Danio rerio: one gene and its partner. The protein of the gene in region 1 interacts with the protein of each later gene in a pairwise test. Links are inferred from orthologs where the notes say so. Each region holds a gene or a part of one and is shown on either strand. Other genes may lie near its edges.

What was found.
Region 2: the proteins of rsph1 (region 1) and morn3 interact in binary tests that used the Homo sapiens proteins (3 or more experiments, as listed by UniProt). The two-hybrid records come from large-scale screens. The link is inferred for Danio rerio from reciprocal best matches to the Homo sapiens genes RSPH1 and MORN3.

Annotation. Positions count from the first base shown.
Region 1 is NC_133184.1:18,425,814-18,429,639, forward strand, and holds part of rsph1 (radial spoke head 1 homolog), read right to left. Parts: intron 748-3,826; coding exon 642-747; intron 1-641.
Region 2 is NC_133185.1:47,157,723-47,162,307, reverse strand, and holds the start of morn3 (MORN repeat-containing protein 3), read left to right. Parts: upstream 1-1,742; 5' UTR 1,743-1,861; intron 1,862-4,585. Other genes in the region: tmem120b (transmembrane protein 120B), read right to left, coding at 1,492-1,554. UniProt on the Homo sapiens protein: Assembles a suppression complex (suppresome) by tethering SIRT1 and MDM2 to regulate composite modifications of p53/TP53.

The DNA of each region.
Region 1 (3,826 bases):
CTGTTTTACATTTTTAATTTCTATATCTTTCGAGAATTCAAAATGAGTCACATGTTGATAAATAATGTTATGATAGCTGTTTTAACATTAAGTTATGATTGAATTCCCTCATTACAGTTATGAAATAGTTTAATAACAAGCAGGAAATGTTATGGGCCAATGACATCACCACATTGAAATGATCTATAGGATGATATTTGTGCATACATTAGATTAGCCAGTGCCAAAGCCGAAAACTATAAATAAAATTAAATTAAATTAAAAATATAATAATATCAGAGTCTAAAAATAAGTACTCCCAAACTAATTTGTCTTTTTTTTTAATGCAATTAACTCATTTGAGTTATTCCTAAAGGTGTTAAGTAACAAAACTCTTATTTTTCATGAATATAACTGTTTAATGCAACTGTTTTGTGTAAATGCACCAAAATATATTGTCTATTTTCACTGGGAAATGAATAAAAAATATGTATACATTTTCAAAATTGGGCTTTACATTTATGCAGAGCATTGTTTATTTACATATAGGACAACAAAATTACTACCAATGTTATATAGTGACATATAACTGTGTTTTAATATTGTTTTATATTAATACATAACTATTAAATGATAAATAAAATATATGAATTTGACAGCACCTGAGTCCCTCTCAGTGGTCCAAACAGAAAGCGCAGTAATTGCCTTGGGTTTCCATTTTAGAATGGTTGTCATTGCGGGTTCTTCTTCTTCTGCATCTCCTTTAACCTACCGTCAACAAATGTCATTTGAATTTGGCTCCACACAAAATCATTGCACAGCAATATTTTTCAAAATGTATCTCAAAACATTTTGCTAGAGAAAAACTCATTTAGAGATAAAAAGATTTGATCCCAAAATGTGTTTATATTAACTGAATACTTTCACTTAATACAATGTGAATTCGGTGCAAAATCTGTGCATTGGTGAAGTGTTTGGGCTTACAGCAGTGACACTTACAGTACATTACATTGAACTGAACTAAATTGATCTTCAACTGTATCTATTGAACTGAAGATTTGTACTAGAACTTGTTAAGCTGCTTTTGCACAATCTACATTCTAAAAAGTGTAATAGAAATAAAAGTCGCTGGTCCGACTTCCAGCTGGGCCAGTTGGCATTTGTGTGTGGAGTTTGCATGTTCTCCCTGTGTTCACGCGAGTTTCCTCCAGATGCTCCAGTTTCCCCTAAAAACATGCAGTATAAGTTAATTGATTAAACAAAATTGGCCGTAGTGTGAATGAGAGAGACTTTAATATTTAACTTAACTAAACTTAAACCAGGGCAGCATGGAGAGGGCAGAACAGAGAGTTCGACTGGAAAATTATGGTTCCCCTGAAATCTTTTCAGAGGCTCCTGGGGCATACAACATCCGCAGCTGCTGTCACGCTGCTCGGACTGCTACATATAAACTATTTCAGCACTGACTTCATAATCAAGTCCCCAGATGCACATGGCATGCAGGCACACACCAAGTAACTGTCACTGCACTGTCACCACACCCTTAGCCCTTGGAGGGACCCTGCGTTTCTACAGGTCGGAGTGGTTCTACGACAGGCGTCCAGGCATGTTGTCATCTCAACAGATGCTTCCAGCATGGGGAGCCATGTGTTACGGGCATGCAGCCATGGGCCTGCGGAAAAGGACCCAGTTGCATTGGCATATCATATGCCTGGAGCTGTTGGCAGTATTTCTCGCTCTGTGCCGTCTTTTACCAGTGCTGGAGGGGGAACACGTGCTGGTCAGGCTGGACAGCACAGTGACGGTGGCGTATCCGCTCGCTCGCCAAGCTCGACTGTGCAGCCGATGCGCTCTCACGGCAGTCTCTACGTCCGGGAGAATGGAGACTCCACTCCGAGTCCGTCCAGCTGATATGGGCTTGCTTCAAGGAAGCAAACAGGTCGACCTTCAAAGAAGCGACGACCCCTGCCTGCCAGATCCCTTTGAGAGAAGACCTCCTCTCTAAAGACAGGGCACCATCTGGCACCCTCACCCAGATCTTTGGAACCTCCACGTATGGTCCCTGGATGCAGCGAGAAAGACTTGGGTAACTTCAGGATAGGTTGGAGCGCAGGCTGTCGCCCTCCACACTGAAAGTTTACGTGGCTTAAATTCACTCCGCTTCCTCTCATGCCCTCTTGGGATCTCGCTGTGGTGCTTATGAGCATACACGAAGATTTGTTCAAACTACTTGACTCAGTATCCTTGAGATTTCTGTCCCTGAAGACAGCTCTGCTGGTCACGTTGGCATCGATCAAGAGGGTCAGGGATCTGGAGGCATTTTCAGTCAGTGACTCGTGCCTGAAATTTGGGCCGGCCTACTCTCACGTTGTCCTGAGAGTTCCTACCACACCGTTTAAGGACCAGGTAGTGAGCCTGCAAGCACTACCCACGGGGGAGGCAGACCCAGCCCTTTAATTACGGTGTTCTGTTCGCGCTTTGGAAGTTTATGTGCATCGCACTCAGAGCTTTAGATTCTTTGAGCAGCACTTTGTCTGTTATGGTGGTCAGCAAAAGGGAAGTGCCACATCTAAACAGAGGTTGGCCCACAGGATCGTGGATGCCATCTCCTTTACTTTCCAAAGCCAGAGCAAGCAGTGTCCCCCAGCGGTGAGAGCGCACTCCACACGGAGCGTCGCATCCTCTTGGGCGCTTGCACACAAGGGGTTCGAGTCTGATGAAGAATGTAGTAAATAACCAGTAATGTAGTAAGAAGAATGAAGTAAATAACAGGGTAAGAATGTGGTAAGATCTGAAAACGTGATAAAAATTGGACAAGGGCTTATCTTTTGCTGGAATGCTTTTGTAAACACTGACAGTTGGGTTTAGGGAACTAGGTGATCGGGTCAATCAGTGCTTTTAAAAACACTATCGGTTTGGTTTAGGTAAGGGGGGGGTGGAGATATCGGTCTGTCGGTCAGTCAGTCAGTCAACAGCAGACTCTAGTGGATTTCTGCGAGAACAGTATGCGCGAATAGCACCTGCGAAAAAACTTTGATATCTGAAAAGGATTACACAGCAGCCTCTAGTAGATTTGCGAAAACAAACCTGCAAAAATAATATACATTTTAATAATGAGCCTTGGTTGGTTTTTAGTGTCTTGGTATGCTTTCATGTATTCAGGTATAATCTGTTTTCATGAGGGTCATTGCTTAAAACATAATTGAAATATATTTCATTTAGTTTTATCTAGTAGTTGGTAATGTTTACTAGCATACTAATCTGAAAAACTAAGTGCTCAAAACAAAAAAACTCCACTCCTGATTAGTCTAAAAAAAAAAGAACACTGCATGAGAGCTGTTGGCATGCAGCAGGCAAACTGCACCATTAAGAAGCACAGCAACAATATATCCAGAAGAGCTCATAAAACCTCTTCTCCAAAAGCCAAAATAGCAATAGAGAAGCTCTGTCCCTGATGGGGGTAAGGAGAACGCAACTAAAAAAAATTCCATTCATTATTAGTTGTCTCCTTTAGTACTGGCTAGATTCAGTAATAAAAAAGTGTGAAAATGTGCACATCAGCATACTTTTAGGCCCCGTTTACACTAATGCATTTTCGTTTTAAAACGCATGTTTTGCTACGGTTACGCCATCTGTCCACACTACGCCAGGGTTTTCGAGTGCTGAAAATGGAGCATTTTGGAAACGGTAGAGAGGCCGTTTTCATTCTAAAACGCTGCTGCTCCGTCTCACTGTGGATGGGGGAAAACAGAGATATCTGAAAAGGGAGGCGGGGCTGCCGACATTAGCCTATCTGATTGGGACTTTTTTTTTCTCACTATTAAGTAGCCTAACGTTACACACAGTT
Region 2 (4,585 bases), on another chromosome or scaffold:
ATACTGTGATACTGTGAAACCGTATTTTTATCCAAGGTTATCATACCGTCTAGCCCAGTGGTTCTCAAACTGGTATGTGTACCACTAGAGGTACGCGGGCTTACTTCTAGTAGTACGCAGAGGAATCACTGAGTAATGAATGAAAAAATTAATACATTTTTAGTAATTTCATGTGTACAATAACACCATTGTGATCAGCATTGGCTGTTCTCCAAAGCCTACGATCAAAGCGATGTTTAAAATGCACAATCCAAATGGCGCAGAACTAGAGAAAGAGGTGCGTGGTGCTTGCAGAGCAGATACATGCTAGAGCAGTGGTCCCCAACCCCCGGGCCGCAGACCGGCACCATTCTATAGATCAATTGGTACTGGGCCACACACAAAAAATTATTAATTATTTCAGTTTTATTTATAATCAGAGTCTGAACGATCATTTATTTTGAAAAATCTTTCATTTTGAAAAATGACCGTATTCTCTTGTTACATCTCGGTCACTTGAGTGCCAAAATTGAACCCACAGGCTAGCAAAATGAGTAAGACCTGCAGCACGACGCGCTTGCGTATTCCAGGCCTCCCCAGTTGAAAACATCTTAACTTTTCAGAATGCAGCACCGCGAGTCATGTGACAAGAACTGACTGATAAAATATTTTGTATGGAATATAATTTCGTTGAATGAATGACTCTGTCTCATTTTCGAACTGTGCAGTGCTTTAGCTGCTTAATTTAGCCCACTAGGCTCCTTTATTTCAATACTGTTGATTATGGTGGTACTTGGAGAGACCATTTTTTTCTGAGGTGGTACTTGGGGAAAATACTTTGAGAACCACTGGTCTAGCCCATGTCTACTACATAAGTTACTATAGTAATTTCCATGCGTGTTAAAAAACTCATCTTTGGCTTATATACAATATTTTTATATCAGATACAATATTAAATGTTTATTACATGGAAGTCCAAAATAATTGAAATAATACCAGAGTACTATCATGAATTGTGTCCCAAAAACCTAGTACTCCCATGGTAATTTACTTTAAAAGGCACTTTTTCCAAGGCATTCAAACCCCTGGAGCTTCATGAACTTTCTCTCATTCATTTTGAGCTTCATCATACTGTAATCTGACCTTGATATCAAGAATAGATCATTTTAACAGTTAAGCAATAACTCTTGGTTAACATCTAACCTAGTTTAACCAGTTACATTCGTGAAGCATTATCAGAATTACATCAGTAACACACCGAGTTCATTAAAACCGAGCAGATGTACAAAAACAATGCTTATTATTTTGTATTCTACTATATATAATATAGAAAGCTGATACAGATTTAATACACATGTACAGTAACAATAGAAATCAGTTCATCTGATGAGCTAAAGCCCGCTAGCCGCATCATAAACATCCCAAACACACACGACTGCTTCTTTAATGACTCATTAACTCATATTTTGGTTAACGACGCACAAATATAACGTTTATCCGTTCAGCTCAAACCTGTAATTGCTGATATTCTTGCTCTATTTCTGTCCATTCACTTTGACATCTCTCCAGTGACATTGTACCCGTCCGCGTTAGCGCTGCTGTGCCGCTTAACTGCCGCTAGTAGGCGCTCCAGCCATTTATATAAGCTCCGCTTCCACCACGTCAGCCAATCACAGCCGAGCATTAGGTTCAGAGGATGACATCGCCATCTGACGACCGGGAGAGTCAGCGAAAATAAACATTAGAGAGTTCGTTGCTTGGTTACAGTACACTAATTATTTTTAAGAGGTTTAGTCGAGATCGACCATTGCTTGACAATTAAAGTTGATTTTCGTAGATAAATGGTTGATTTGGGTTTTTTTAAGCGGTCTGGACTGTAAAGGTAAGTGTTGACTATGATTTATTTACTATATTTACACGTTTTAAATGCAAAAAAGCTCTAGTATTCACCATATCTTTTTGTTTAATAGCCTTTGGTGAATATAGGGTATTATAAACACATCTGTTTACACTTTGTTATTCTTCCCAAAAAGCTTTTAATAAATAAATATTTAAGTAAATACCACGAAATTTGTGCATTTGAATAAAATTGTGTTTATTATATACCTCTTTAACATCGGTAGAATTAAGGCAGTAGAAATTGTACCGCATTTCTGTCATACACAAGCATTACTCTAATACACTACATTACTATAACCATTTAATATTTCTTATAAAATGAGCATTACGGAGTTTGCATGTTCTCCCTGAGTTCGCGTGGGTTTCCTCCGGGTGCTCCGGTTTCCCCCACAGTCCAAAGACATGCGGTACAGGTGAATTGGGTAGGCTAAATTGTCCGTATTGTATGAGTGTGTGTGTAAATGTGTGAGTGGACGATTCCCAGAGATGGGTTGCAGCTGGAAGGGCATCCGCTGCGTAAAAACTTGCTGGATAAGTTGGTGGTTCATTCCGCTGTGGCGACCCCGGATTAATAAAGGGACTAAGCCGACAAGAAAATGAATGAATGAATGAATGAAAATGAGCATGTACACTACCTGACAAAAGTCTTGTCGACTATTCAAGTTTTAAGAACAGCAAATAATAACGTGACTTCTAATTGATCATTTAGTATCAGAAGTGGCTTATATGAAAGTCAAAGGCCTCTAGATGACGCTTATTTGACCACAATAAAATATGATCATGCCTTGATTATTAATGATTTCTTTAGGACAGTAAGGTCTGACTCTGCTTAGAAAAAAAGTCTCATCACTGAATAGAAATAATGTCCAGTCTAGAATATAAAGTCCTGCTGCAGTGGAGACAGCATGAATATTGTGTCTGACTCCATCATGAGTTTGGAGGACTGCATCCATACATCTCTGACATGACTCAAATCACTGATTAATAAAGTCATCTGGAACGGCAAAGAAAGCGTTCCTGCAGGACTCCCAGAGTTCATCAACACTCTTTGTGTTCATCTTCAATGCCTCCTTCATCTTACCCCAGACATGCTCAATAATGTTCATCTCTGGTGACTGGGCTGGCCAATCCTGGAGCAGCTTGACCTTCTTTGCTTTCAGGAACTTTAATGTGGAGGCTAAAGTATGCAAACGACGTTTGTAATGTAATGGGCAGCACAAATGTCTTGATACCTCAGGCTGTTGATGTTGATCATCCACTCTGCAGATCTCTCGCACCCCCCATACTGAATGTAACCCCAAACCATGACTTTTCCTTCACCAAACTTGACTGATTTCTGTGAGAATCTTGGCTCCATGCGGGTTCCAGTAGCTCTTCTGCAGTATTTGTGATGATTGGGATGCAGTTAACAGATGATTCATCAGAAAAAAAAAACACCTTCTGACACTTTCACAAATGATCAACTAGAAGTTATTTGTTGCTCTTACAACTGGGATCAACAACAAGACTTTGTCAGGTAGTGTATATCTGTCCCTCTTTTCAATAAGAGTTTTAAAACAAAACATTTCCCACATAAAAAAATAATATAGTAACTTTTAGTAAACACTAAAGTGTTTTTGAACCATACTATTTCAAATTGTATTATACTGATCTGAAAAACTAATGAATACTATAGTATACTTTAGTTTTTGCTACAGTAAATTGTGAGGTATTGCATAAATTACTCTGTAGTTGAAAACTATTTGTTTATATTATTATAAATGTGGTGGCACGGTGGATGAATGGTTAGCTATGTCGCCTCACAGCAAGAAGGTCGCTGGTTCGAGTTCTGTTTGTGTCAGCTGGTAGAATGTTGGAGGCTGGAGGAGTTTGCATGTTCCGTGTTGGCGTGGGTTTCCTTCTGGTGCCCCCCACAGTCCAAAGACATGCGGTACAGGTAAATTGGGTAGGCTAAATTGTCCATAGTGTATGAGTGTGTGTGTGTGTTAACCCTAACCCGGAGGAAACCCACACGAACGCAGGGAGAAGATGCAAACTCCACACAGAAACGCCAACTGAGCCGAGGCTCGAACCAGTGACCCAGCAACAGCACTACCCACTGCGCCACTGCTTCACCTACCACATACAGTTGAAGTCAGAATTATTAGCCTCCCTGAATTATTAGCGCCCCTGTTTATTTTTTCCCCCAATTTCTGTTCTGTTCTGGGAAGATTGTTTCAGCACATTTCTAACCATAATAGTTTTAAAAACTAATTTCTAATAACTGATTTATTTTATCTTTGTCATGATGACAGTAAATAATATTTGACTAGATATTTTTCAAGACACTACTATTCAGCTTAAAGTGACATTTAAAGGCTTAACTAGGTTAATAAGGTGAACTAGGCAGGTTAGGGTAATTAGTCAAGTTACTGTAAAACGATGGTTTGTTCTGTAGATTAATGAAAAAATAAGTTAAAGGGGCTAATAATTTTGTCCCAAAAATGTTTTTTTTTTTTATTAATAACTGCTTTTATTCTAGCCGAAATCAAACAAATAGGACTTTCTCCAGAAGAAAAAATATTATCAGACATACTGTGAAAATTTCATTGCTCTGTTAAAAACCATTTGGGAAATATTTTAAAAAGAAAATCAAAATCAAAAGGGGGCGAATAATTCTGACTTCAACTGTACATCATTTGTGTATTACTTAAACTTATTTCTTCTT